Linked DNA regions of Danio rerio. The protein of the gene in region 1 purifies or fractionates together with the protein of each later gene. This does not show direct contact. Links are inferred from orthologs where the notes say so. Each region holds a gene or a part of one and is shown on either strand. Other genes may lie near its edges. The genes, in order: ppp1cc, polr2eb, tox4a, nup50, actb2, ncoa5 and adisspb.

Region 1 (4,549 bases):
TACAAATGTAGATTTTAGGGAAAAATATGGCTTTTACATGTTTGCAGACATTTTTTTAATCGGAGTACTGATTTGGAAGATTAATAAAAAACAAAAGTAATAATTTGGGCTGTTGATTGTAGCCTTTAATTTTAAAGCAAAAAGAAAAAACTATTCAAACAAGCAATAAAAACATACAAACAAACAAGATACATCAGGCATTTTACATTAATATATAAGAAAAATTCAAAAACGTTTTTCGGTCAAATCTTTACTGAATAATTATTTAAAACTTCATTAAAAGTCTTCTACAAACATTAAAAGCAGGACAGTCTAATAAAATATTTAACAGAGGAATCTTAGAAAATATGCAAGGAGTAGGGTGTTCCTAATATACTGGTAATATATTTATTTTAAAATAAATAATTTTAAATTTAGAGCCATATTTGCCCATTTGTGATATCACTGACATTTTAAAAAATAAATTTGCTTAATTGTTTTTTATTCATTATTGCGATGTGAATTAATACAGAGATTTGATTATGAAAGTTTGTAATTTAGGCTTTGGTTGCAACCTTATGTTTGTAAATGTTGTGGCGCTTTGAGCTTAGAAAGGTGCATCATAATTAAACATTATGCATTATTATTACCCAAATATAATTTATAGCATCTCTCCATGACAATGTCAAAATTTTAGCGCAGCCATTATTTCACACTGCATAAAAATAAACCTAAGCAATAAAAAATCTTTAAATAAGCAGTTTTATGTATTTTGTGATTCATGTTTTTACTTTCCCCCATTTATTTACGCTTTTGAATTGGATTATTACTTTCCTCCAACAACTTTTAACCTTGTAAAGTTAAAAAAAGTGACTTATTTACTTTTTTAATAGCTTAAAGTGATATACTGTCTGGTTGGTGTTGTATATTACGCTACAAAAACATTGTAACAAACATTTTCTATTCTTTAACAGACTTATTTCTTTAGATATTATTTTTATACATGATATTATTATTTCAAATGACTAAAATGTGAATAAGTCACTTTGTGCACTTTTGATGTTAAAAATACAACAGAGGAGAGATCAACATAGCATAATGCAATTTGCCACCGCAAATAAACCCAAAACACACAAAATAGAGAAACTGTTCACTAATATATTTTTTACAGTGTAAGAGGACAAAGTAAAAGCACATGCATATCAGTATGTGTATGATGCTGAAATCACTACTGCAGAAAGTACAAGTAAAAATGGGTCAAAGCTGCTGCAGTGCTAAATCTGAAGTCAGACCCGCTTATGAAGGATACATACCTTAATAATACATTTAATGTTAGTCTAAATAATAATATCTGCCAATATGAACTGTGTTGCATATAAAAATTAAACAAGCGAGAAATGTTATGTAAATGCATTTCTTCACTGTATACAATAAAACTATAAAATCTTGCATAATCATTCTGCCTTTATTGCACCTGCTGCTTTTATAATGCATTCCAGAAAGCAATTATATTTTGCAAAGATACAATTCATTGTATAATAAAATATAAATCTATTTGTATAGTGCTTTTCACAATAATTCATTTCAAAGCAGCTTTACAAAAGGTGCACATTTCATTACAGTCAATTCAAAAAAAAGCTAAAATGTTGTAAACATAGTTGGGCTCATACACATTTTTACTACTAAAATTTCATGATTTTGCCAAGACTTTCATGTAAATGTTCATGACCTAATGTTTCATGCAATGTCTACATATGCGTGGTAAAAGAAAAGCAATGCATGTTCAAATTTATTAGAGCATAGCATAAAACATGCAACAATCCATTTACTTTCAATTTATATCCATGCAAAATTAATTTAGATAATGCTTACACCGCACTAATAATATGAGAGTATGTGATTGGCCAAGGACAGAAAATAAGAGAAAAGCCTATATTCAAGTATTTGTCATGACTTTTCTAAAACTGTGTAGGTTTTTCTGTTTTTCCAAAACTTTTCCAGGCCTGGAAAATGCCATGTAAAAATTCCATGACTTTTCCAGGTTTTCCATGACTGTATGAACACTGTATAACCTGCAGTTGTACAGGATGTGATGTCCTTCCCCCCCTAAAAAATATATTTACATGTAATAATAATACATGTTTAAAGTCATAATATAAGCAAATACAGTGTTCATATTCAATCAGAATTAAGAGTTTATCATGTTTTAAAGTTCTCATTTTCAACAGTTTCATATTGTTAGTCATTAAATAAGGTTTTAAGATGTCTAATTAAAGCAAGGATTTTTAATAAACATTTTATAGAGATGACACCCTCAAATTGTATAAATTTGGGTTGAACTCAAAAATATTGTTTTTCCTAGCGCTAGAAATCACACTTTTGACATTTCAAGCCCTGTTGTTAATTTTAATGACTGTGGTACACTAATAAACAGCTGTTTTGATGCTCAAATATGTATTCAATATCATAATATCAGCATTAGTCAGTGTACTAACGTAATGTGTTTACTGAAGCACCGAAACCGCGCGTACAGCTTGGCAGTGTCACAAACACCAGTGAACTGCCCACACAGAGTGTATTTTATAGTCAAAAGTACTGTCCATTCGAAACCAACCAATAATATATAATCTTCAAATATATCAGTATAGTGTCTATGTAGAAAACTCTGTATTTGACACACAGCCGTTTGTGTCAGTGAGCAGAGCTAATGCGCAGCTAACTCTCGCTAGCTCAGCTAACGTAACATCCATAAAAACGACAGAGTTGATAGATCAAGCATATACATATACACACACAACCCTTATGGCAATTATATAGTTACTTATGTTATTAAAAGTACATTTTAGCTGTCACTTGGCTTGAAACTCACCCTCGAGCAGGCGCTGAATGATGCTGTCTATGTTGAGTTTGTCGATGTCAGCCATGACTAGCCGATAAAAACACAAACACCACCGCTTAAAACACACCAGACACGACAGATAAAACGACTTCGATTAAAAACAAACTGGTTAATCACAAAACTCTAAAAGAAAAGATTAAAATGCTCGAGCGGGCCCGTTAGACGCGCGTGCTGCGGCGGTGGCGCACCGGCTCTGCGGAAGGACACGCAATTCGGCTCGGTTTCACCGCTGATGGAAACGGGAGGGCGGATGAACACAAAGGAAAGGAAGAAAAGTAGTGCGGAGGAAAGAGGAGGGCGTGCCGCTGACTTTCACAATAACGTGTGACGTTGAATGTTAATTGCAATGAAAAACTTTTAAAAACACATGTTTAAAACATATCCTACACATTAACATAATTATTTATTTTAACCAACAACGTCTTTTGGCATGCTGTTATTACAGTAGACCTAATACAAATATTATTTCATTTGAAAAAATTGCATTATGCATTTAATTTATGCTGATTCGGGTATACACATGTACTAGTATTACATTATTTGACAGTTCTGTTTATGTTAATTAACCAGATGCCTTGTCAACTGTTATTTATTATAATAACCTAATAAAAAATTATTAATTTTGGCATAAAATCTAGTTTTACAGTATTTGACATGACCTTTTATATTAACTAACCACATTTTTTTGTCAATTGTCATTCATTATAGTAAAAAAAATATTATTTAATTTGTAGTATTTTTGCATTAGAAATTAATTAATGCTGATTTTGGCATTAAAAAAAAACTAGTTTTATAGTATTTGACATTACTTTTCATGTTAACTAACCTCATCCTTTGTCAACTGTCAATACCATTACATATTTTGTCATTTGTGGTAAGGTATTTACTCAGTATGCATTTAATTCATGCTAATTTAGGTATTAAAAATACTACAGCATTGCAATGCAGGCCCGTAGCCAGCCTATTAAAAGGGTTCTCAAAAAGTGGAACTTTTTGCAGCTATTCGGCTCATTTTTATCAAATACATTGACATTTTAAGCACAAATTTTTGGATTAGCTTGTCGGATGGTTATCATTACAATACTTTTTGACGCAACAAATATTTTCCTATATTTTTGTCAAAGTGCTTACCATACTATTAACAAAAAATTGTGTTTATTTACAACTGTGCATTTAAAATTTACACTATTACTTTTTACAAATAATGTAATGAGATTAGAATTTAAATTAAACATTTTGAACTAAGAAATTCGAAAAAATACTTATTTTTTCAAATGCTAATTTATTATTATCCATCATAAAATAAGGAATCTGTTCAAAGTTGTTTTAAATTAAAAAACTTAAGCCTATATTTAGAGAAATTATCAACCTACGTCACAGGGGTTCCTGGTGTCAATAGTAATAGTTGTGCGGTAGGGTGCCAAATCCAACTTTTCAAATGCAGCTTAACATTTACCGTACACCACACTGCTTTAATGCCAACTGCAGACATATTTAGCTATAAGGGAGCTGAATGGAGTGAGGACCTAATTAGAAATGCTGGACTCTGCAGTTCTCATGTTATATCAGGTGAGTTCACGCTATGCTGAATCAGACACGTTACTGGTTTTTGATTGCAGCAAAAACAGTTCAATATGGTTAATTAAACTGCGGACACTGAATGCCTAGAAT
Region 2 (4,426 bases), on another chromosome or scaffold:
TCACACTGTCATTGTGGGGTGCTGTGTGTAGAGGATGGAAAAAATGAATTTAACCCATTTTGGAATAAGGCTGTAACATAGAAAGATGTGGAAAAAGTGAAGCGCTTTATTTAAAGGTTAATAAAAGACAAGAGCTCACCAACATTACTGGACCAATCTGTATGTGATGTATCGGCCAGCCGTTTCACTCGGTCTGATGATCTTAACAACCTGAAAAACACACACAAATTCACAAACTATCAGCTGATTGCGGTCAATCAAAATGAGCTAAAAATTGGGCTGATTTCCTACCTGGCCTCTTTTTAAGCCAAAGTAACGTGCAACGGGATCCCCAGCTTGAATTCTGGGAAGTTGGCTTTCCTTTAGCTTACTGGAGAAGCGCTGGTTAAGGTGACCTACATGTACTGTGAACTATCCAACTGGAGTTAAACATATATAATACACAAAGTTGAGCTAAACCATAGAAATATGAAAATAACACTGCTGTAAACTTAAGCATCTTTCATGAAAGGATACTACCGCGCCAGCAACTCAGTCACTTCTTCTTTTGTCATAACTATGTGCTCTGGAACAAGCTGAAATACATGAAACCATAGTTATTGCAAAGGATAATTAGATAAAAGTGTTAAGCATCTTAAAAAAGTGCTCAAAACAAAAATGATGAATATATTAATTATCAAGAAAAAAAAAGGTGCCCAAACTCGGCACTGCAGAGTTTGGCTCCAACCCCTGAACCAGCTAATCGAGCTCTTACTAGCTCTACTAGAAACTTCCAGGCATGAGTGCAGAAGCAAGTTGGATCTAAACCATCTAAGACTGAGTTTGGGCATCTCTGATCAAGAGAAACAAGATTTTCTTCACAAAGAACCAAATTATACAGTGGAATTCAATGGATCATTCTTCAATGGGCAATATGAACAGCTAGTGTTTTTAAACCAACAGTAAAAGGTTTTTGTGACTATTTATAAGGTTGCTTTTACAACATCGTAATGTAATTGAAATACAATCCCTTAAATAAACTTAAGCATTCATTTAGTAGTTCAAGCATAAAATGAGATAATAGACTGTGTAACTGCTAGCGCTGTCAATGGCAGCAGGCTAGCGCAGAAACTCCATTCAAAATACTGAGGTAAAATAATTTAACACACCGCTTTATAGCACTTTATATCATGTATGTGTGTGTGTGTGTATATATATATATATATATATATATATATATATATATATATATATATATATATATATATATATATATATATATATATATATATATATATAAGGCACCGGAAACCATATTAAAAGTCTGTGTGCATATAGCCCATTGTGTTCAAAAGAAGAAAGAAACTTCAACGCTAGAAACTAGTGGACGGAGATTAAATGATGTCAGAAGAGTTATTTCTGTGTAAACTGGCTTTTTAAGTTAGGAGATTCTGATTGGCTGTGGATTTTTTTATTGTTCATCAGCTAAAAATATAATAGTTCTCCGAATGTGATTTTGGACTAACAGTAAGTGATACAACATTAAGGTGCTTTTTTCCACCAGTGAATTAAAAACCGTGCAGCCATTGACTTCCTTAACGGGAACAAAAATACTACAGCAGGTCAATGGCTGCTGCTTTCCAACATTGTTGTCAACAGAAGAAATAAACTCAAACAGTTTTGGAACAAGGGTGAGTACATGATGACAGAATTTTCACTTTTTGGGTGAGCTATAACTTTAAGTCTCCTCACCTCGTGTTCTGTAATGTTGATTAGAAGCTCCTGCTGAAGAAACTGCTCCAGTATGTACTTTGGTGCCATGTCGACCAGAGACTGAAATGTGACAGAGAGAGATAAAAAAACGTATTTATCTTGTAAAGTGCTCGACATTAGAACTGTAAACATTAGTAAATGTGCGAGTTGCACCTGTTTGGCGGAGGGTGTCATGCCCATCTGTACTACAATGATGGCGCGGGTGATGTTTTCCTCCTGCATGCGCTGGCAATACATCTTTATGGTTTTGATGCCAACCTTTGGTTCCTCTGAAAGCAAAATTGAAGTTTCAATATATTTAAACTCTTTAACGTAAATACAAAATTGATCAACCACTCCACTGAGGTAAAGCTGGTTTCACGTTTGTCCATTTTTACCATGATGCTTTGAATATTCAGTCTGCAATCGCATGGAAGTATGACTTTAAAACAACATTAGCCCTATTTGACTATTTAATTAACAGTGATGTATTTGATAGTAGCTGGCTGCTAATATGATTTCCCTGTTTAGAATTAGCATAGAATACTTTTCTGAAATTATATTATTAAGGAGATTGTCCGAATATAAAACCAACTTCACCTAATAACCACTCCTTGTTATCTCGGACTAGTTAAATAAATAGGGCTGCTGCGGAATAAAACATACCCGGGAAGAACACAAACATCTGGTCGGTCGGGTCGTCATTGTGGGCCACCAGGACTGTCAGGTCATTTCGTCGTGGTCGACCCTCGCTCGGTTTATCTCCAAACTGACTCCTGAATTCATCAAGAGTCTGGTCCAATTCATCCTGCGTCACCAAATATCCGCGATCGTGACAAAGCTGTTGGTTAAATATCAACATTGTTATTACATCATGTTATTTCTGTTATTTAAATGTGTATGGTTTTATAAAAGACATGAAATCCATTCAATAGTAAACCGGAACAAGCATCACTAAACTGTGCGAAACGTTATAAATAAAGCATATATGTCTTTCTTTACCTGCATTATAGTTTTTCTAATTTTCCATAGTCTGTATGTCTCTTCCTCGTCATCCATACTGCGCTATAAATATGATTAATACCAAATTTTGACGATCAAAACAATCCGCTAATGTGATGCTTCTTCTCCACGTTTGTTTCCCGTTGCTGGCGCGAGTAAATGACGTCAGACGTTACGCCACAGCGTAGATACAATGCGCAGCTTTAAAAAAAAAAAAAAAAAAAAAAACAATGCGCAGCTTTATTTCGTACAAAAAACAGTGCGCGTTGCTTAGAAGTATCACAACTTCTAAGCAATATCACAGCTATTGCTTTCTTTAAATACTGATTTTGTTTTATGTAAACGAACAAGGAAGGAAAGAGAGTTGTATAGCATTTGAGAAGTGCGTAGGGTTTGAATCGTTTGAATATAGATTCAATCGAACAGTTCAAATATCCGGTGTCAAGGCGATTCAGTGATTCATTTTGACCATAGAGCGTCGTCCCCAGCGTTTTAGGAAATGTTACAGGGTTAAAAAAATACATTAGCAATTATTCCAGAGGATTTTGATTGAGTAGATTTACGTCAATTACATTTATTGTAACGTTATGTCTGCTTGTGTTCAAAAGTTAACAAAATCGATTAGAACAATTAATAAATTGTTTTGAAAAAGGGTTTACAAAAGGATAACGATCATTAATTTTGTCTTATTGTAACCCACCTATGAAATTGATTTACTGAAAAGGGGAAAATTATCTACTGGGTCTGAGCTTTCTAAAGTATATATGAAATTTCAACACAATTTACTTGAAATCTCGGGTTCGGGATATCTCAACTTAACGACACAATATATTATTGAATGGTGTGGTCAAATTTTACATATTATTAATACTATAATCTCCAACTGCTCAAATAAAAAAAAATAAAAAAACCCAAACACAAGAAAATACTTTTGAGTTTGCTGTATTGCAAATTTTCTGGTCTGTATCTGAACTGCTTTTCAGCCCTTATAAAAACATACTCATGTATTCAAAACAAACAAAATTAAATAAATAAAATACAATATGTTGACAGCAATTCAGCCCTTTTTGAAAAAAAAATAAAACTATACAGAAGTAGGAAAATACAGTTTCAGTTGTCTAAACGTCCCAATTTCAACATATATTTATATATATGAAACTTCAAAGTCCTGAATGTAATGTAAAACGTAGTTCAATGACTGTGAATCAGTGTATGTGTTTCCTACGAAAATCCTTGACGATTGAGTGATGACATGCGTCCATCCAAATTGGGAGAAATCCTCACGGAGTGAATGTAACGAGCCACTCCCCTTGCCTGCACGAGTCCAATGCGGCCGCGGCGCGATGGAACAGTCCAGTGTCAGTTAGCTAATGCAGCAAAACAATTTGGGACATTAATTTTATGCAGAATTGGCAGGATGGATTAAATTAGAAGACAGCCAAAACGTGTCTCTCCTGTCTTCACCACAAGCTGGCGTACAAGTGACGTCAGTCACCCTCTTCATATAACTTCACAACTTCACATAACATTGCTAACTTCAACTAAGAGCATTTTCACAAAATAGTTCACAATATGTTCAAAATATATACATATAAAACAGAGTAAAACACATTGAACACGGTAAACTTGTACATTTACAGCGATCCATGAACAGTATGCATCATCTATACAATATAGCTAAACAAATCGAAAA
Region 3 (4,358 bases), on another chromosome or scaffold:
AATACTTTAATTGTATTTGTATTTATTTATCTGACAACAACCCTTATCAATCTAATAAATGGATTTCTTTCCAAATAGAGCTATTCAAGCCATCTGGTTAAAATGTATTCAAATCGCAATAAATATCGCAGGAAAAAAATATCACAATGTCAGATCTTTTCAATATCATGCAGCCCTATCTAGCATTTTATAATCCATTAGAAACAAGTGCTGGATTTCCTTTAGCAAACACGATGCAGACACTGCTGCCACTGCTAGAAAGAGAAAAGCTTACCACACCCAGAGTTGAGCTCAGCAGTGCACTTCCGCCCTGCTGGTTCATCACACCCAAAGTCAGGTGCTCCATACCCTGAGATGAGGGATTCATGAAGGTGGAGGCAAAAGATGGATCATTTCCCCCAACTACAGTATTACTGGCAAGAACACTTCCAACTCCAGCACCCCTTGAGCTCTCAGCCTGTTCGGCCAGCTCTCCAAAATGTGCCTCCACATCCTCTATGGTGAGAGCAGAGTCTGGATCCAAGGAGATTGGGATTTCGAACTCTTCATCACCCAGACAGGGTGTATAGAATGTTTTCTGAAATGAAAAATAAAGACATAAGAGCAATTCCAGCGCTATGGATGCGACATTTGCAGTAAAATCTCAGAACATAAATTCACAGAGAAATTATATATTAACTTTGTTAAAACATCTGTTTATATTTTCCAAAACAACTCACCACAGAGTTATGGGATCAGAAAAATATCAATCTGTAAACATTTGTTTATTTTATATGAGGAAAATAAACATACGTGATGGATGTGACCAAAAAAGTTTACAGTATGCAACGTACTTTGTACAAGTTCTGTGAATTAAATTGGACAATCTAAAAGAAATAATGATGATCAAAAGAATACATGTTTGCTCTCTATAGAACAAAAATGACTGATTTTATTTTATATTTTCACATTTATAAGGAAAAATCTTTGTTATGGATGTGACATCTCTTGCCACTTGTGTGACTTTGGTAAATCAAATATAATTGTTTGAAAATATTGACAGAGACATCTTTGAGTATTTTTGCAGTCCTGTTGAATACAAGCCTAGACAAACAAAACCTAGAAAGAGTTTCGCTATGTTGGTGAAAACCTAATTTTTTTATGGCAAGGTAGAAAGTTGCATAAAAATTTTCAGAAATAAAATATAAAAACATGTATATAAAAAAATACACAAGATGTCCCATTCTAGTGCCTGCATCAAACTTAATTTATTAAAGATATCAAAACATATTACACTTAAATGTCTACTTTAATATTAGGAAGATCTTTCTGAAAATTAAATCTGAGAATATGAGTGAAATAATGTCTCAAAATCATCACATTGATTTCATAAAAATTAAACAACATACTTTTTCAAATTTGTGCCAATTAAAAATATATATAAAATGATGAGAGATAATCATTTTTTAACATTGCAAACTTTTTTTTATTTTGGGTAAAAAACTAAAAAGTTTAAAGGAGAGACAGTAATTATAAATGCATGTTGGGGCTGCTGTGTGATCATTATTAGACTTTTAATATTTTACCAAGTTATAAATATAAGTCTTGTTATAAATATTCCTGACAAGCATTTATTTTAACACAAACTATTGATGTGCTAACGTTTTATATGGTGTATTTTATAAAACAAGGTAAAAAGATTTATAGTCATCTTTTGATCACAAAATTTAAATAAATCCAGAGACACTTTAGTCACTAATGGAAACAAATTAAGATATATAACATTATATTGCATGCTTTGACGCTGTAAAGCTTAAAATAATACATTTAGTCAATTTAAGCTAGCTCAGAAAACAGTCCAAAAAGAAGCACTACCTCAAGAAAATGATGACCAGGTCCACTGGTGGTCAGGTATGAATCACTGCCACCTGCAAACTAATAAACGGATGTTAAAAGGTGCAATAACCACATGCAAACGCGTTTTATTATATAGTTACGTTGAACTGAATATATATATATATATATATATATATATATATATATATATATATATATATATATATGTATATGTATATATATATATATATATATATATATATATATATATATATATATATATATATATATATGTATGTATATATATATATATATATATATATATATATATATATATATATATATATATATATATACACACAAAGCAGCCAGACTTACCTTGTTTACTGAATCATATCCATTGTAGGACGAGTTGTCCATAAACTCGGAATCAACATGTTGACCGGTCCCGTCAGAGAGTTCCGTGTAAAAATTCAGATCCATGAGGATACTATAAATACTAGATAAATATATAAATAATGTCTGTTGGGTTTCTTGATATGAGGAACGAGTGGGCTGCTAATATTCCAAAAGCAACAGACTAAAGCAACCAAAAATACAAATAATGAATGGGAAATAATGCTAGTCAGCAAAAGAAAAGAGCCAAGCAACACAGCATCTTGTATTGTTCGGCATAAGGTTTGTGCTGCTCGACTGAATAACGTCAATAAACTTCATTAGACGATCCACAGAGCAGCGTTAATACAACCAGAGCCGTTAAAAGCGTTTATGATGAGTGGTAGGTGAAGGCTTACCAATTTAGCCACTAACAAATTGAGCTAACGTTAACTGGCTAATTCGTGCTAGTTCGCAGAAGCGCTGCTGTTAAACCCCAACATGAGGTTTCATTCATAACACAGGCCTCGAGGGCAGAGAATTCGCCTGTTCGCTGAATGTAAAATCCAACATTCCATTAAATAACACTATAAACTGTACACTTTTAATATATATTCAGATTGAACAAACAAAGTTTGCCTAGAGAGTCTCACTAGCATGGATAGCTTCTGCCAGTGCTAAAATGGACCGATTCGATCGGTACTCTGCTATGTTTGTCTGTTTGCAACTTGCAAGTCTTATTAATCGCATTCCGGTCATAAGTTCATTTGTGTCCAAATCCTGAAAACCTTCTCCTGGCAGTATTTAACACGACCCGCGCGGTTCCTGTAATGTGGAGCATTTTTTTCTCTTTTAACTCCCCACACTTTATGTAATTCATTCAATGGTCACGGCCACCATCACTTTTTTACTTTACTACTGTGATCATCACAACTCACAAGGCTGGCGTTACTTTTCTCAGCGAACTTCAAGCAGGACCAGTCACAGTCAGTGTTGTCAACCATCTTTAAGAGGTTGGTTAGTTATTTAATTGTAAAAAAAAACGTTTTAAACAACAGCAATTATGGCCTTATGCGTTGTTGAATTTGAAACGAATAAATTCATGTAGTTTCTCAATCTCCCCAAGCCATTACAACATAATATCTTGTTTTGTTTTAATTATGTCTATTTAATTTTGTCTATTTCATAAATTTACATTTTTGTTTGTGTTATCTGGATATTTTTAATTTCATTAAGATGTTAACTGATGTCTATATTTGCAAACAATATAAATAAAAAACAGGCATCGTAATTTTTCTATTATTAAACATACAAAAAGTAAGACTTAGCAGCATACTATACACACAAAGTACAGGCATTGTCATTTCTTTTATGGGCGGATCTCAGGTCTAGTCTTGGTTTGCTGCAGTTTGGTCAGAGTCAGTTGTTAGTCTGCCAGATGAAGCTGTGCTTCTGCCCTTTCAGTCTCTTTTTGCTATTGTTGAAAGTGATTTAAATATCAGTGATTGTCATTCTTTGCATTTTTTTTATTATTCTGTAATCATTGCATGCATCACTAATAAATATTCTAAAACAAAAATATTTTCCATTGTGATGAATATACAATATGATCATATTGACAGAATAAAATGTATTGTTTTTGGTCAGTTTTGACAGCTGTTTGGGGGATTTTTTTATGAGGCCAAACTCTTTCTACTTTGCTGTAGGCCTATACTGTAAGACTGAATACGTTAAAGCCTACCTAATGACTGTAGCATGACGGATGAACAAATACAATTAAAACCTTATGAATAAATAGGATACCTTGTTACATACTGCATAATCCAAATATAGTATTATTTGATACATTTTACATTACATTTTGGGCATGAAATCCACCTTTCTGATGGGATCAGTTTAATCCAGATTTTTTGGATCAAAGTGATCTTATCCAATTATGTAATCCATTTTTTCTTTTGAAAAACCCATGTTAAAGATTTGATCCAATCCGTTATCCTAATTCCTAGTGGACTACTTTTAAAAATCATTCAGCTCCAATCCTGATCAAACACACCTGAACCAATTAATTAGGACCTTAACAGCACTGGATAATTACAGGCAGGTCTGTAAGATATGGGTTGCAACTAAAACCTGCAGGAAGGTAGATCTCCAGGAACAGGGTTGAGCAC
Region 4 (3,842 bases), on another chromosome or scaffold:
ATTGTATGCAGCAGCCTTACATTTAAAAGGGAAACATAAGGGTGATCATACGCAAAAAGACCCCAGACTATAAGGCTAGATGTTTTCTTTCCCTTATTTCTTTATTTGTTTGGCGCATGTACTCATGTGCGATCAGAAAACTGCCCGCCTCTCCTTTCACTCCGCCCCGAAGCCCCAGCTGGCCCTCCTTGGCCCAAGGTATTCGGAGGGCCGAAAAAGGCCGGCCGCTGGCCCCAAGAAAGCCCCGCTTTGGCCCGATTAGGCCCTGGAAGTGACAGTGGAAACCCCACTTGCCTTGGCTCGCTCGCTTTAGGCGCGATAGTGGAAACGCGGCTAATGACGTTTTTATAGATAGCAGAGTGTTTTTGTGACGCACAACTTAGAAATGTGTCTGTTAAAGCCGTTATAATCTGTCACGTGGTTCAAGCGCGTCAGAAATACGAGAAAAACATTCTCCTAGTTCACGTGTCTGCCGTCAGAAATATAGTGTGTGTGTGCGTTCCCGGCCTGTCAGCTGTTAGCTCAGCGGCTCTTCAATACACACACACAGAGAGAGAGAGAGAGAGAGAGAGCAAACCAGAGTACTGGCATGAAACCTAACAGGTATGAAAGTCGAGCAATTTACAAAAATGAGCAATAAAAGTCTGTTATTGATCCTCTGCTGCTGATTTGCTGTTCATTCTAATCGCGAGCCGTTTGTGTTTTATTTTGTGTGTTGTTTTCACCACGGTTTGTGTTTTTCTTTCATTTCGAAATGACACTAGCCTATATTTTCACTTTGTCACAGTTATTAAATCAGTGTGTCAGTGGCACAGTACAGGCTACGTGTGTGTGTCAAACATTTTGGTGAATTACATTAGTTTGGGCTGGTTATATATTTAAAATAAAGAGAAAACGTTGACTTTAGCGATGACGAGGCTTCATTTAAACTGCAGAAGATGCCGTCTGACAACCAGGGGAAAACGCCTCACAGCAGCTGTTTTCCATCCTATTAGATCGCATTTCTTTAAATGATCAGTCCCGGAGATGCTGCTGATGGACAACAGTATTAGTTCAAAGAGGATAAAAGCAGGTAACATAGATTAAAACTCGTTTCAAAGCTGTGCAAATGTGACTGTTTACACGCATCAGCTGCCGACCGGAAGTTCTTCGCATTCTCCTTGCGCAGCATACACGCAAAGCATAATGGGTAATTTTGCGTTCCAAGAAAAAGGGCTATACACACTTTATTTTAGCGGCTGAATGAGAGCATCATCCGGGTTTTCAATGTGAACGCACTACTTACACTATTTATACTACAAAATGGCGTAGAACAGTGCGCAAGTATGCGATTTGGGACGCAGCTAAAATCCTTCAATAACTAATCGAGCTAAAGTGATTAATTAATCAAGGTTTAATCATCCCTTAAATAACAGATTTTCTGAATTGTCTTCAGAACAAACCACTGTAAACCAACGACTTGGCTAATTACCCCAGTGAAGCCTTTAAATTGCACGAAGCTGAATACTAGTATCTTGTAATATTAAGTGCTGTCGTGATTATGACAACAAAATGAGTTATAAAAAACAATACATTTACAAGTGCGCTGGGAAATAATTAAAGAACTGAATTAGACAGGCGGCTTAACAATACTGACTTCAACTAGTCATACTGCGCAGCTCTAGCCATCAAAGCAAAGCAAGCGTGTACCTGCAGTCTGGCTGTTGCTGTCCGAGTTGACCACAGGACTACTGACGCTACTGACGGCTGAGCCAAACACAGCAGAAGAAGAAGACGAAGAGGAGAAGGAAAACGACGGCGCTCCACCTGACGACAGCGCCCCGAGCACCGAGCTGTCCACCTTCTTTCCGAAATTAAAGGAGACTCCCGGAGGAGCTGCTGGCTTTTCTGCTGGAGGCTTGTCGTCCTTGTTTTTGAGGGAGACGGTCTGCGGAGCCGCAGCACAGGATGCCAGCGGCTTCCCTGGTGTTTCGTCTGCCGCCCCGCTGCCGTATTTCCTCTCGATGCTGGCCAGGTGACGCTCGTAGTCCCGGAAGATGGGGTTGAGGTCGCACAGCGGGTTGTCGTTGACGTGTTTGGTGATCCAGTCGCGCACCGAGCAGTTCAGCGCTGTGAGCTGCCGGTTGTACTCTTTACTGCTGGGGGCGGAGCCGTTGGAGGTGACCTCACCGTCTGTGGGCTTGGAGGGGGTGGAGCTGCTGAATGTTAAAGGACCTGTGCATGAAGAGAGGGAGATACATAATTAGGGATGCAATGGCTCTTGGTAAAAAAAACGTATTGTCTCGTCGTCCTCTCACAATTCGGTGCGTCCTGTGATCTATAGTTCATAGGGATGTAACGGTATTGTAAATACCGTCATACCGCAATATTAATTTTTTCGATATTACCGAAGTCGCATGACTCGGTAAAACTATAGGTCTTCTGAGAAAATTTGCTCAGGCGAATGAAGCGAACGGGAGGTAGCGAAAACTACAATTCCCATCAGCCCATGCTTGACCATCATCCCTTGCGGTCTGTTGTCGCTACAGATCCAGTAATGCGGAAATGGAGTGTGCTGCTAGAATGCATGTACACTTTCTCATGCATTGCACATGCGAAGACCTCTCCAATCACCTCCAAGTATGTAAATCAGTTGCTGACATCACATTTCCTCATGTGTCTGTGTGTGTGTGGGGAGTTTCTGTGGGTTTCAGCATGGCGAGTGAAGGAGATACAGCGCAAATGCGCAGATGAGGCCAAATCACAGCGCACTGCAGTCACGCATACAACATACGATTTTTAAAACGCTCAACTTTTAATTAATGCAAGAACATGCGATACATTTGTGTGAAGCTGTTGCATTGTCAGGTGTTCGTTAACGGTCAACAACCGCCTGAATGTACTTTACCCCTTACTTCATGGATAATTAAGTGTAGTTTTCTGTACTAATACACAACAAATTACTGTGATGAGAAGGGCTGCTTCCTAAATATTAGAGTTGGGGTCGAGTCCACCTTTGTCGAGTCCAAGTCGAGACCAAGTCCTTAACCAGTCGAGTACAAGTCCGAGTCTGAGTCCAAAAGGGGTCGAGTCGGACTTAAGTCCGAGTCCTTAACATCCGAGTCCGGCCGAGTCCAGACAGTCTTAAAACTCATTTATTATTTTTTCTTTTGGCTTAGTCCCTTATTTATCAGGGGTTGCCACAGCGGAACGAACTGCCAACTAGTCCAGCATATGTTTTACGCAGTGGATGCCCTTCCACCATTCACCCATTCACTCTCATTCACACTCACACACCCCGGCCATTTTAGTAAATTAAATTCCCCTATAGCGCATGTGTTTGGACTGTGAGGGAAACCGAAGCACCCGGAGGAAACCCACACCAACACACGGAGAACATGCAAACTCCACACAGAAACACTCCTGACTCCAGTCCCTGTGCGGCAACAGTGCTAAGCATTGAGCCATGGTACCACGTATGTAAAATAACAATAATAATAAATCAAATATATTTTTCTATTAACAATTAAACTGTTAAATGAAGAATTTAAACTTTTTGTACATTTTTACAAAATGACTTGTATTTTTTGTTAGCTTGCTTCAAATTAAAATAAAAATAGGAGGATATATGTCGAATTTTTATTATTTTACAAGACTCACACGATTGACATTATTCTAATGCCACTTTTTCACATTTCTTGTTTAAAATACGCTTGCATTACCAAGGCAAAAATGCATTTTTATTAACATTAAACATCAAATAACAGAGAACTGTTATCAGCCCCAGTGTGGAAAATGAAACCATACTCATGCCAACTGACCCAGATCAGCACAGAACATAAAAGGTTCAGCAAAGGGAGACC
Region 5 (4,386 bases), on another chromosome or scaffold:
ACCATGACACCCTGTAATGCAAGGACACAAGCGTTACATTTTGTGAACTACTTGAGAAAGTTCTCAGTTTGGGTCAGAATCAAACTAATCGGTCTTCTCACCTGATGTCTGGGGCGACCCACGATGGATGGGAAGACAGCACGGGGAGCATCATCTCCAGCGAATCCGGCTTTGCACATACCGGATCCGTTGTCAACAACCAGTGCGGCAATTTCATCATCCATGGCTGAACTGTAAAAGAAAGGGAAACTGTTAGAATTGCACTGCTGCCAGGGAGAGGCGTTTCAGCAAGCATGTGACCATCTGGAGTCAACTTCCTGTTTTGCTCTGCATTCTACAGTCTGACCGCTGGTGGGCGCTAGTGACAGCGCGCGCCTCAGATATGCCAGACAAAGGAAGTCCCTCTGCATTCTCTCATTATTACCATAAAAGGCAATGGTTTGAGCCGCTTTGCGGCTGCCGGCGGTGTGGCACTCAGCCAGAGTCGTAGGGCTCAGTAAAAAGGAACAGATTTCGACATTCATCACACCAGGACCACTCCCTAAATTTTACACAAATGAAGTTTCACATCCTCTTCCACCCTCGCCTGCGATCAATTACACAACCGCATTTCAACGGGTGTCTGCCGCCGGGTGTTACTGCGTCACAGATCTGCAGTCAGTCCACGGACTCCTCGTGAGCGGAGACTTCACACTAAAGCATTTCTGGACGGTCACTCTCAGTCGGTTCAGTTCATAGTCTAGCCTCAAAAATCACCGAGATCCTGAAAAACTGATGGGCTCTGCTTCGACAGTCACAGCGGCTGAAGTGCAGCCAGAGAACTCCGCAGCCGTTATTAAAGTGGACCACACCTCTAAAATTCAAATCTTTCATAGCGGATACAACACTTCACTAACGTTAACGTTAATCTTCAGCTTCATTAAAGACAGAGGGGGCTGCAGGCTACATTTAAATAGAACACATAACAAAAAGAAAATTAACCAAGTTAAAACTAAATGCCAATACCCGTTACTAATAACAAGATCTTCGATCTTATAAAGCACGAATGAGCCGATGTTAGATTGATGGGGTTTACGTTACATCAGATGAGAGCTGGTTAGCCGGCTAGCTAAAGTAGGTCACACCCTGCTGCAGCACTGCCTGCACAAAGAACTTCCCATGCCGGCTATCCATCAAGTGTGCAACATGCTCACCAGCACCCTCAAAACTGTAGTTAAAAATCACATTTATGGCTGTTAAAGAGAGATTAGCCAGAACACAACTTTATATTAAGACTTAACACCCATTTCACACCGGCCTATTCAATGTTCAATGTCGTGCCTACGACTGGTCACGTTAAATTACCGACATTCTCACCTGCCACATCCACTAACGCTACAAAAAAGTTAAGATACAGCCAATATTTATTAAATGTAACATAGATTATCAAAAGAACCACCACTTATAAATCAAACCTAGTAGATAACTACAAAGAGACCGTTATGAACTGTCTAAAGACTTCATCAAATCATATTTATCCATTTACACATTTTACTTAACATTAATAGATAGAAACTATAATTAAACGCTTAAAAACTGTAAAACCAACTCACCTTGGGTTTGGGGGGTTGTCGACTTAAGAGAATGGGTTACAAGCAGATGATATTCCGCACTAGCTGCGTGTGGAGGAGCTCAAAGTGAGGCTGAAAAGCTGGGCGCGCTCTTTTATATGACGGCACATACCCGGCTCTAGCCATAAAAGGTAAACTTTCGGAGCTCTGTGCTCTGATTGGTCCAGCGTCACACACCCGGCTGTCGCGTGCACATTGCTACACTTGCTTCTTGCAACTTGAGAGTGAAAGAAGGGGAAGCTTAACTGGTTAAAGAACAAGGCCATGGCGATTTCCTATAAAACTGGAATTTTTATTTGCAAATTTTAACACAGAATTTTTCGTATTTTTCTGCGACAACGCCAAGACTCAATTAAACTTTTCAAAAAGTCTGTGCAGAGTTACAAGTGGCAGAATGCGTCATAATGATGGATGCCTCCATGATCCTGTGTTGTGTTTTCAATCTAACACAACAGCAGCTCTGTAGGTCATTTACCTCTTGTGTTCACGAAATACCGTAATACAAACAATGGGGGATCTAATGAGTACTTTTCCATGTATAAAATGGACATTTTTTTTATCCAAATTAGGATGACACTACTTGTAGTATGTTGTATGAGCAACTAGCTGGTCTTAGCTCAGTAGTAATGCACTTTAAGAAAGTGCTTTAATAACTTTGAATGAATGGGACCTGCATTCCATGCCACATTGCTTCACTATTTTTGTGTGTACAAGTTACACAATGATGTATAAAGTGAGTGATAGCAGTTACATTTTTGCAAGTGGGCCTACCTCAGGTTTAATGTTCATTAGAAATGTTATATGTCAAGTCTTGATCTTAAATAGTTAAATTTTCTGTTCATAATTTCATGTCGTGTCTATGCAGACATAACATTTCTTTTTAAAGAGGTTTATAAGGATAAATCCTAAGAACATAATTCTCATTAAAAGTAGAAAAAAAAAACACTGAAAGTGTTGGTGATCAGCTACAATAAATAATATTTTGCACACATTTCAGATATTGCCACACTGAATAACAGATAAAGCTGTGCTTGAGCAGCAGTGATCATGATAAACTACATGTGACTTTTTACTGTGTAACTTGGGAGTAATGCACATGGCCTTCAGTGGGAGTTATAAACAAAAACAGCTGATTGTGTTAAAAGTGCTTGCTGATACCAAGGACAATGAGGTGATGTGACTTTTATTTTGTTTTTGGCAAATTCCAAGTATTTTGACAAGACTTTTTACAATTCTGAGCATTTTACCTCTAAAATATGGAAGTTTCTCAGAGTAAACGTTGAGTATAGGTAATGACTAGGCCCACACAGAATCTGTGCGCACAGAAATCTGCAGATTTCCCCAGATCTTTAGCCCATCATTGAGTTTATTTATTGACTTGTGTATTTGGATTTGCTCTTTAGTGTTTGGACTCTCAGCAGTAAAAATTAACTCACACTGAACTAAACTGAACTGAACTTAAACTCTTAAAAAATGGACTGACACAGTTTCAATTTACTATACTAATCCTCTAAGTTAAGCTGCTTTGACACAATCTACATTGTAAAAGCACTCTAGAAATAAAGACAAAGGTGTAAATATATGTTTATTCAGTTTTTAAATACATTTCCGTAATATTATTGACTAATATGAAAGTGTTCATTTGATTACAATATGGTCTGAAAGTAATGTTTTCTGTCTTTTAGAAGATATATTATGTGAGAGACTTGCTTTGTCGACCAAATAATTGGATCTAGGTGGACTTGCATTGTATATATTTATTAAAAGTTAAAAAGGTATTATTTTTTTTTATTTCATATAGTAAGTTTTTAGTTACGATACTCCCGAAAAAATCTCGCATAAATCACAGATTGTTTACAAAATTCTCTGCAGAAAAAGCAAAAAATGTCAGCAGATTCTGTCTGGCCCTAGCTATGACCCAACAGAGCAAACAGAATAAATACAACGAAATTTAATATACAGCATCAGATATAAAAGTGAATGTTTTATAGCTGTTTGTGTATAGAAAAAATGAGAAAAAACAGACATAAACAGCATCATAGTATGAATGTCTAAAAACTTGTTATCTGCAAACTGGATACTCATCAATAAGGTCTCCTCCTTCCATCCCCCAACATCTTTTCAAAGAATGCCAAGCATCCATCCACACCCCCCTTTATAAACACACAGGTTTTTATAAGATAAGCAAATATTTAGCACCAATCTGTGGTTAATGTGATGTAACACACAACAAACAATGCATTCAGCATATCCAGTCAATTCTATTTTTTAACCAACCATGCTTCTCTTTGTAACTTTTGTAGATTGCACAGGGGATCTTGTTACAGCAGATGTGCTTTTGTGAGTCCATAGTTCCCCCGAGGACCACCACCCTTCCCTGATAGCAGCCCACTACAGCCTTCCCATTCATCTCTAAATAAGGTACTGTCCTAATGAACCTCAGCTTTGCCCCATGACATAAGATTTCCAGAGCAATAAAGTGTTGTTGACTGTCAGTGTGATAATGTCATTGTCCTTTAGAATGCCAAAGTCTCTTATCTCAATTCTGATACCAAAGCTCTCCCAGTACACCATTCATGCATAATGATAAGAAACATATTTATGAAGTTGTTCTCAAAGGAACACTTTTTGGGCGTGTCATGCTGCATTTCATAGTTTGTTGTTTGGCACCCACATAAATAAAACAAGTGTGTTTTTGATAATAATAATAATAAGGGATGCACCGATACCAGTATCAGGTTTTGGGTCGATACTTGGTTAAAATATTCTTACTCGT
Region 6 (4,398 bases), on another chromosome or scaffold:
TGCAGAAACAAACACTTAGCAAGCATTGAATTGAATTATATCGTATCACAGGGGTTTTCAAACTCGGTCCTGTCCTGCAAAGTTTAGTTCCACCCCAATCAGACACACCTGGGCTAGCTAATTAAGCTCTGAAGCTGCGGTCACACTGGACTTTTCTCCCCCATAGACATCCATTCGTATGCACGCGAATGCGTCAGACATGCGAAATTGCATCACGTGACTGTGCGAGACGAATCGAAAATTCAAACATGACCTCTCTGCACAGAAACGTAAAATATGGACCAATCGCTTGCTTTTATAACTGTCTAATCATCTTGTTTAATCCCACCCCTTATCGCTGCTCTGTACGACAGAATTTCGCAAGCTCAAACTCTAATGTGACCGCGGATTTACTTGGCTTTCAAGAAACATCTGTGCAGGTGTGTTGAGGCAAATTGGAGCTAACATCTGCAGGACACCAGCCATCCAGGACCAAGTTTGAGAAGCCCTGTCCAGGGCTCTAAATTAACCTTTTTACTTGGTAGCACTGGTGCTCCCATCTTTAAATATTTAAAAGCCTCAGAAAAAATGTAGGAGCACCCACCAAAAATGAATGAGCACCATTGCAAATTGTATATTAAGGGATTTATTGTATTTGAAAACAACATCAATTAGGACTAACAAAAAGCAGAAACAACTATCTAACTAATGCTGTGATGACTTAATATTTGTGCAATAATTCCAAAATGAATGTCTAATAATTATAAAATATTAATGATAACGATGATGTCAATGATGCTAACAATGCTTTACATTTCTCATTATGATGCAGCCTTGAATGTGCTTGAGTGCGAGTTATTTGCTATAAAAGTCCCACTGTTAATTTATGAAAAACACATGTATGGTTTGCATCAAACACAAAAGAAGCATTTGAGTAAGAAATATTTATTTTGCACTATTGTTTTCATATGCGTGTCAATTTAATAAATACTATTTCTGCTACAAAACAAACGAAAGATTATAATAAATCATTCCATTCAATGCTAAAAGCTGCAAAGCAGTCAACAGTAACTAAATAGAAAAACAATATACATCTCACGAAAGAACAGACAAAAGAAAGTAAGAAAAGTCTCTCTTTTAAAAGTTTGGGTTTGTGTCATTTTAATGTTCAGTTTCGTTATGAGCTGATTTTCATTTTTCTGTGTTTGTGGAAAGCAGGTGAGTCAGCCGATGCAATATATGAGGGGGCAGAGCAGGATTTTCCCGATGACCACTGGTGCAATACCGCTCTTTGTTATAAGCCGCATCAGTTTAAACTTAGTAAAGCTGAGCTTCTTTGGTGATGGTGTGTAAAGTGTTAGATTTTACATTTATCGTACATTTGTGCTGAACACGTAGTGAATGCAACGCATCGAGATTCAGTGTACTTTTCACTCTTCAGTCGTTTGAATTACCCGCGGTCACAAAAGCTCCCAGTCATCTGACAGCGGAAAGTCTTGAGTGATTGACAGCTAATATGAACCAATATAGCGGCAGAGAAGAGCGATTCAGCACGTTTTTAGAAAAAAAAAATCTAAACAGGTCGCACTACACCCATTATATGCAGTCGCACAAATGCTCGCAAATATATTATGAGGTTGCATAGATTAAATGTCGGGCGCGTATGCGACCAAAATGGTCGCAACTTCGAGCCCTGCTGTCATATCATATTGGTCATCCATTAATAGTCATTTTCACTTCATGCAAACACTCAATTTCTAAAAGAAAAAATTGTTTAAAACCAATCATTTCTATGAATATCTTAATATCTAACCTTACCCATTTTGTCATTTGTCAGTTATTTGAACAGAAAAATTAGAGTAGCACTTGCAGCACCATATTTTCATTACAACTTATGCAGCAAACGAAAATCACTACTTGGTGTAAACATTTGTCACAAAAATGTCAATTTACTTCATGCAACAAACCAATTTTATTTTAAGAATAAAAAATATTAGTAAAAGTGTTATTAACCCACCCTCTGGCTCTCTTCTGCCGTTCCAGGGGTCTCTGTATCGATCCGAGTATGCCTCGTCTTTCTTCCGATAATAATCGTAATCTCCACGATAATAACGATCATAACCTTCCTCTCTGTAAAAACACTGTACATTTAGACAGGAAAACTACTTAAATTTAGGAACAAAATTACCAAATCAATCTTAAAGGGGTCATGAACTACTTTTTTTGCACTCTTGTCTACTGAGATCCACTCAATGACTTTTAATAAAAACTTCACTATTTAGTTTTTAAAAAAGCGATTGGCTTTTTTCTGTCCTGTTTTTGACCCTTTCATCAGAAAGCATTGTTTGTTTTCTGATAATGGATGTACACTTTTTGGATAAAGCCCACTGCTCTGATGGCTAACATTTTTGAATATTAGCAGGGCTAAACAGGCAGTGAATCAGAAGTCAACCTTCTACAGAGGCAAAGCTTATCCACCCTATTACATCATAAAGGAGAACATTCCAGAACCTGTGGTTTCTTTAGACTGCCTTTTAATGCAAGCTGCTTTTAAACAAGCCACAAGTTTTCAGTTTTGAGTTCTGAAATGTTTTTGGATGTTTTAATAGTATGATAACCTCTTATATGTCAAAAGATCAAGGGTATTTTGGTTTCTCAGTTCATGACTCCTTTATATGTCCTGTTTGTGCACCTTAAGGAAGGCTCTTTCTCCCTGCTCTCAGACCCCCTGTATCGTTCTTCAGCTGGGGGTCTATCCTCATGTTCACGTGTAGAAGAGGGACGCGATTCACGGCTGCTGGCCCTCATCTCTCGACTTTCACGGTGGTAGCGAGAATCTCGTGCGTGCACCGGGGACCGAGAGCGAGGACGGGGCTCGCGACTCTCCCCATAAGAGCTGGATGGCCTGAACAGAATAAATACACTCAATCAACACATGACAACTAAACACGTTTCCCCAAAACTAATCTCTATTAAGACTACTAAAATTTACTTTGAAGTGCTTCAAAATGATTACAAGATTAAAATCAAATGGTAAAATTACACAATGAACATTTTGTTTTGTTGTACCGTACAAGCATGAGTGATGCCCGTCGCAAAATTCACGTCATTTATTTTATAAAACGAACCGTCGCACATTCTAAATATAACCCTTTCCTAAATTAAACTACATGTCGAACCTCATCTGTTTGTGATAATCATTAATATTTAGTTTCCACGAGTCATAAACAGTTTTTATTTACATTTTTTGCTAAATAAAATGCATTTGAACAAAGTCAAACAGCACATTTTTGTTGCTTCCACTCCGATCCACGTCAGCAAAATGATTTGCTAAAATAATAGTTTTAAAGCAGAGGTGATGAACAGACAAAGGTGGTGACTGGAAGATACACACCAACCTGACAACCTCCAAAATCTTACTTAGAAATCCAGCCATTAAGTGAACGACTGAAATTGTTTAAATTACTGTTCAGTTCTTTACATCCCATTCAAGTAAATGAAATTGTTTTTTTTTTATGTTTTAGGAAGTGATAATTGGAGTGTCGAGAACCCGTAACTGTTTGAAAACCGTGCATAGTAAGTGAACAGAATGAATAACACACCGTTTAGACAAGAACACACCAAGGGAAATGCACTCAAATTACCCTTTCAACTTTATTTCAATTAATTCTGATACAACTAAAAGGAAAATTGGAAGAAAAAAAAAAAAAAAAAACTGAACAAACTAAAAAGCGAAAAGCCACGAGAAATGTAAACTGAACCAATTTTGCGCACCCGACAATGATATTGCGATATTGGTGAATTCCGGTGTGGAGGGGAAAACGGTTACCAAAATTCTCGATAGATGTCGTCTTCAGTAGCAAAAAGATCCCAGCGATACATTACCTGCGTGGAGGACTTGATCTGGATTTATTCTGTCGTCTCTCAGCTGCCATATTTACATCTGAAAATAAACCAATCCAAACGTTCAACATGACAGATGACGGAAATATTTCAGAGCCAAACGAGTGTTTGATTAACAAAAGAGAAACACTTTGTTCTGCATCATTTGTTTGTTTAAATTATAAGCATTTCAACAGTAGCTTAAAAGTAAATACTACAGTTTGTGAAGTAAACATTGTACTTATTTATTGTTTTATTGCCATATCATTATGGCAAAAACACAAATATTACATTAACACAAACAAACAGTAAATTACAATAATTGAAATTATTTAAGGTTCTTTAATATGTATAAAATATTCTAAATAGATTTTTACCCGAGTACCCGATAACTTTCTAAAATGTAGTAAGAAAGGAGTGCAGGATCTTGTTAATTTTTGCATTTGTACATCAGGAGTTGATTTTCCCTGCTGTAAACGCTTATTGAATACCTAACTAATCTAAACCACCAATAAGAACTGCCACTTAACACAAATA
Region 7 (3,842 bases), on another chromosome or scaffold:
GGGTTGGCCACCCCTGCAGTACAGGCTATTTGATTGTTTTGTTTCCAAACCTGAAATACAAAAAAAAAAAGAAATCACAGAGAGCTACAGTAAACAGATCATTCCTGCATTCTATTGTAACAGTAAGTAAAACCAAGAAAGCACAGTGCCCTTTCCAAACACTGAGCAGAAAGCAGAGACATTGCTGAGCAGCCGGCGACAGACTTCCAGAATCTAGAATATTCCGTCACTGCCAAAACCGGATATGTGGCACGGATTGAGAAGTTTGAAGTGAGTTTCGGGCGATCAGTCGAAGCCTTGCCAGTCGCTTTGCTCCGAGTCGTACTCCAGCTCTGCTCCAATGCACCGCACACCTTCCAGCAGCATCGGAGTCCCGTGATGACGGTCTGATAAAGAGAGGGGGGGAGGTGTTTGTAGACATGTTATTATGAAATAGTCTTTTCTGCTGCGCTCCAATCCACTTTTAATAATGCACTCGCAAACTTCCTTGTTCTCCTGGTGGAATCCCCAGCAGCATTTCAAAGTGCGGGAGAGTTACGTGTGGAGAAGCCCCAAAAAAGAATACCACCCAGACTGCCGCATTTCCACTGTCGGGCCAGTGCGAGCCAGGGATTTTACCGGGCCGAGCCAATCGCCCGGGAGGTTGAGTAGTGAGGCGGAAATCATGTCGCGCTTCCACTGTCTGGCTTGTAGCTTGCAGTGTGTCACGCAAACGTTACTGTACAGCATTACATTATATGTCTATATGAACGGGCCTGTGTGTTCTTATTTATTATATTTGTACACTCACCGACCGACTGTTGGCATCGAAATAGAGTGGTCTCGCCACTAACGGAGGGACCCAGCGAAATGAGCGCACCCAACCATAATTAAAAACCACAGAAATTCTCCGTTAATAACTCGGTATGAAGTGTATTTTATAACATCCTCGTTTTGATAGACGCCGTCAAACATTTAGCCCAAATGCTCTGGAGACACCTGAAACATTCATTTTTCCCTATAGGCTATTTGACACTTAATAGGTGATTCCCCTTCATTTAGGCAAGGCAAGTTTATTTATATAGCACATTTCATACACAGTGGCAATTCAAAGTGGTTTACATAAACAAGAATAAAAGAGACAAGTGTAAGAAAATGAAAACATTAATTTTCAACTAATAATAATAAAAATGAAATAAAAATAAAATAAAAATAAAATAAAATAAATAGATAAAACAGATACAAATGTGTTAAAATATGTTATAAGATAATGAAAAAGAAAAGAAAGACATAATAGTGCGATCTGTCGGACGCAGCAAAGTGCTCATTCAGTAAAGGCACAGCTAAACAGATGTGTTTTCAGTCTTGAAGTGAATGTGCCTAATGTTGGAGCACATCTGATCATTTCTGGAAGCTGATTCCAGCAGCGAGGAGCATAGTGGCTGAAAGCCGATTCACCCTGCTTTGACTGAACTCTTAGTGAACTGAGTGAACTTCTAGTTTTTATGATCCTAAAGATCTGAGTGATCTGTTAGGTTTGTATTCAGTGAGCATATCTGTGATGTATTGAGCTCCTAGGCCATTTAGTGATTTATAGAGCAGTGATAATACTTTAAACTCTATTCTGAATGTAACTGGGAGCCAGTGATTTAAGGATGTTGCATATTATTCTGTGATCTTAAGTTAAGTGTGGTTTCAGCACATAAGAGCAAGTATAGCCGATATTTTGTTGCGCTCAGCAGCTTTTCACTAATAAAGCTCTTCATTTAAAATCCAATTTTTAAATTTCACCTTGTCATATAAAAACATAAACACTTGATTGAGGATTTTGTATTTGCAGTTTTCCCCGATGCGTTTGTAAAGCGGCGCTGCGCAGGACAGAAAAGAAGGTCGTTTCTTCTATCACGCACCCAAAAAAATGCTGTTTGCACGATTTGATAAATATAGGCGTATCCAAATACTTAATAAATATATTTTAAACCTTCTCTGGTGTTTATTGTTTTTAGAAAATATCTCAAATCTTTTTTTTCAGATTTGCCTTTGTAAAGTGAAACTTATATATGGCTTAAAACAGTTTGGTTTATGTATTGTATATACCTACATTGTTATAGCTAGCTGTTGCTTGTTTTATATTGGTTTATTCATTTAATGTGATTTTAATATATCCGATATTTGTAATTCTTTAAATTATTTCAATATAGCTTAGGCTATTTATTAAGATATGACACTATTGTTTTGAGCTTAAAAAAAATGGGCATGTAATTTGTAAAGTTTTATGTTTTTCTGTGGTATTCAGATTGTGTATTATCTCCAAATTAAATAAAAAAAAAAAGAAACCCAGCCGGTCTCTCAAACACATACAGTCATCTAAACGCGCACAAACACACCTTTTAAACTTGACAAAAACTCTTGACAACCTTTACTGTCTGCTGTGTCTTTAATATGGTGTAAAGGTTATTAAGCCTTATTGAAACATCAAGGAGGACGCAGCAACAAAAAAAAAGCTTTATTATTTTATGAAGCCTTAAATTTAAGAGGGAAACATAAGGGCGATCATAAGCAAAATAAAAACGTAGCCTATAAGGTGTTTTATGGAATAGCTCATCTTATACTGACCAGCTATATGTTTTCTTCAACTTATTTATTTATTTGTTTGCCGCATGTACTTGGGTGCGATCGCAAAACTAGTGTAATGACGGCATGCCATCTTTAACAGACTTGGGCAAAGTCCGCCACTCCTTTCACTCCACCCCGAAGCCCCAGCTGGCCCTCTTTAGCCCAAGGTATTGGGTGGGCCGAAAAAGGCCGGCCGCTGGCCCAGAGGAAGCCTCCACTTTGGCCCGATCAGGCCCCGGAAGTGACAGTGGAAACGTGACTGGCCTTGGCTCGCTTGCTTTAGGCGCGATAGTGAAAACGCGGCTGGTGATGGTTTGGGCTGCAATATGGCCGTCCCTAGACCCAATACTTGTGCTAGATGGGCACTGCCAAAGACTATCAAACCATTCTGGAGGACCACGTGGATCCAGTGGTTCAAACATTGTATCCTGAAGGTGGTGCCATGTATCAGGATAATGTACAAATACAGACAGCAGGACTGGTGATAGTCTTTTAATAAACTTGAACATCTCCCATGGCCTGACCCAAGTATCATTGAGCCACTTTGCGGTGTTTTGGAGGAGCAAGTCTGGAAACTTTTCATCCTGAACACTATTCTGCCATAAAAATGGCTCAAAATCCCTCTGGCCTCCGTGCAGGACTTGTATCTGTCATTCTCAAGATGAACTGATTCTGAATTGGCTGCAAAAGCAGGCCCAACAACATACTAACGGATTAGTGTAGTCTAAAACCAGGCTTTCAGTTTCATTGTCCAACCTCTGTAGGTGCTGGAGTGGACATATGAAACCCACTCGCTCCCACTCTCAAAATCGAGGGTGTGCCCATTTAAGCTTCCCTTGATGAAGGGGAACGCACTTTTAAATGTCATTGGGGGTTCCCCGAGGGAACAAGGGAAGGGAAGTTCACGAGTGTGTGTCTAAATGTGAACAGGAACGCAGTCTTGCGCTTTTCATTTAAACCCATTCAGATGCTCCGCCAGTAGTGGACACTTGTGTGAAGTAATCAATGATGTACATCCGCCAAGACAGAGGGATATTAGCGAGCAAAGTGCATAAACAATTGCACTGGAACGCAGCCTATGAGAAACAGCTTAGTAAACAATCCAGTGCGGGTCTCAAAGTTTGGTGGATGAGTTTTGCGATTGGTGGATCTCATGATTGACAGGTTGGCCCCACCCTCCTGACAGTACCAATCAGAGAAATCAACACTATGCCACATATATTGTAGATTGAACAAATGCACATGTA

Evidence for each region.
Region 2: the proteins of ppp1cc (region 1) and polr2eb purify together in Homo sapiens (affinity purification with mass spectrometry; 4 studies listed by BioGRID and IntAct, with this or other methods). This does not show direct contact. The link is inferred for Danio rerio from reciprocal best matches to the Homo sapiens genes PPP1CC and POLR2E.
Region 3: the proteins of ppp1cc (region 1) and tox4a purify together in Homo sapiens (affinity purification with mass spectrometry; 4 studies listed by BioGRID and IntAct, with this or other methods). This does not show direct contact. The link is inferred for Danio rerio from reciprocal best matches to the Homo sapiens genes PPP1CC and TOX4.
Region 4: the proteins of ppp1cc (region 1) and nup50 purify together in Homo sapiens (affinity purification with mass spectrometry; 3 studies listed by BioGRID and IntAct, with this or other methods). This does not show direct contact. The link is inferred for Danio rerio from reciprocal best matches to the Homo sapiens genes PPP1CC and NUP50.
Region 5: the proteins of ppp1cc (region 1) and actb2 purify together in Homo sapiens (affinity purification with mass spectrometry; 3 studies listed by BioGRID and IntAct, with this or other methods). This does not show direct contact. The link is inferred for Danio rerio from reciprocal best matches to the Homo sapiens genes PPP1CC and ACTB.
Region 6: the proteins of ppp1cc (region 1) and ncoa5 purify together in Homo sapiens (affinity purification with mass spectrometry; 3 studies listed by BioGRID and IntAct, with this or other methods). This does not show direct contact. The link is inferred for Danio rerio from reciprocal best matches to the Homo sapiens genes PPP1CC and NCOA5.
Region 7: the proteins of ppp1cc (region 1) and adisspb purify together in Homo sapiens (affinity purification with mass spectrometry; 5 studies listed by BioGRID and IntAct, counting the BioPlex papers as one, with this or other methods). This does not show direct contact. The link is inferred for Danio rerio from reciprocal best matches to the Homo sapiens genes PPP1CC and ADISSP.

Annotation. Positions count from the first base shown.
Region 1 is NC_133180.1:2,464,324-2,468,872, reverse strand, and holds the start of ppp1cc (serine/threonine-protein phosphatase PP1-gamma catalytic subunit A), read right to left. Parts: upstream 3,086-4,549; 5' UTR 2,904-3,085; coding exon 2,849-2,903; intron 1-2,848. UniProt on the Homo sapiens protein: Protein phosphatase that associates with over 200 regulatory proteins to form highly specific holoenzymes which dephosphorylate hundreds of biological targets.
Region 2 is NC_133197.1:17,299,025-17,303,450, reverse strand, and holds the start of polr2eb (DNA-directed RNA polymerases I, II, and III subunit RPABC1), read right to left. Parts: upstream 2,882-4,426; 5' UTR 2,791-2,881; coding exon 2,734-2,790; intron 2,573-2,733; coding exon 2,398-2,572; intron 2,022-2,397; coding exon 1,906-2,021; intron 1,813-1,905; coding exon 1,732-1,812; intron 576-1,731; coding exon 517-575; intron 371-516; coding exon 292-370; intron 211-291; coding exon 145-210; 3' UTR 140-144; intron 1-139. UniProt on the Homo sapiens protein: DNA-dependent RNA polymerase catalyzes the transcription of DNA into RNA using the four ribonucleoside triphosphates as substrates.
Region 3 is NC_133177.1:41,101,759-41,106,116, forward strand, and holds the start of tox4a (TOX high mobility group box family member 4-B), read right to left. Parts: upstream 2,880-4,358; 5' UTR 2,299-2,879; coding exon 2,194-2,298; intron 1,915-2,193; coding exon 1,855-1,914; intron 578-1,854; coding exon 275-577; intron 1-274. UniProt on the Homo sapiens protein: Transcription factor that modulates cell fate reprogramming from the somatic state to the pluripotent and neuronal fate. In liver, controls the expression of hormone-regulated gluconeogenic genes such as G6PC1 and PCK1.
Region 4 is NC_133179.1:72,000,091-72,003,932, reverse strand, and holds part of nup50 (nuclear pore complex protein Nup50), read right to left. Parts: intron 2,215-3,842; coding exon 1,690-2,214; intron 1-1,689. UniProt on the Homo sapiens protein: Component of the nuclear pore complex that has a direct role in nuclear protein import. Actively displaces NLSs from importin-alpha, and facilitates disassembly of the importin-alpha:beta-cargo complex and importin recycling.
Region 5 is NC_133178.1:39,482,369-39,486,754, forward strand, and holds the start of actb2 (actin, cytoplasmic 2), read right to left. Parts: upstream 2,921-4,386; 5' UTR 2,908-2,920; intron 1,683-2,907; 5' UTR 1,593-1,682; intron 232-1,592; 5' UTR 225-231; coding exon 102-224; intron 12-101; coding exon 1-11. UniProt on the Homo sapiens protein: Actin is a highly conserved protein that polymerizes to produce filaments that form cross-linked networks in the cytoplasm of cells.
Region 6 is NC_133181.1:58,120,826-58,125,223, reverse strand, and holds the start of ncoa5 (nuclear receptor coactivator 5), read right to left. Parts: upstream 2,996-4,398; 5' UTR 2,885-2,995; coding exon of another isoform or gene 2,788-2,884; coding exon 2,672-2,787; intron 2,110-2,671; coding exon 1,997-2,109; intron 1-1,996. UniProt on the Homo sapiens protein: Nuclear receptor coregulator that can have both coactivator and corepressor functions.
Region 7 is NC_133182.1:8,747,228-8,751,069, forward strand, and holds part of adisspb (si:ch211-74f19.2), read right to left. Parts: intron 387-3,842; coding exon 286-386; 3' UTR 1-285. UniProt on the Homo sapiens protein: Adipocyte-secreted protein (adipokine) that acts as a key regulator for white adipose tissue (WAT) thermogenesis and glucose homeostasis at least in part through activation of protein kinase A (PKA).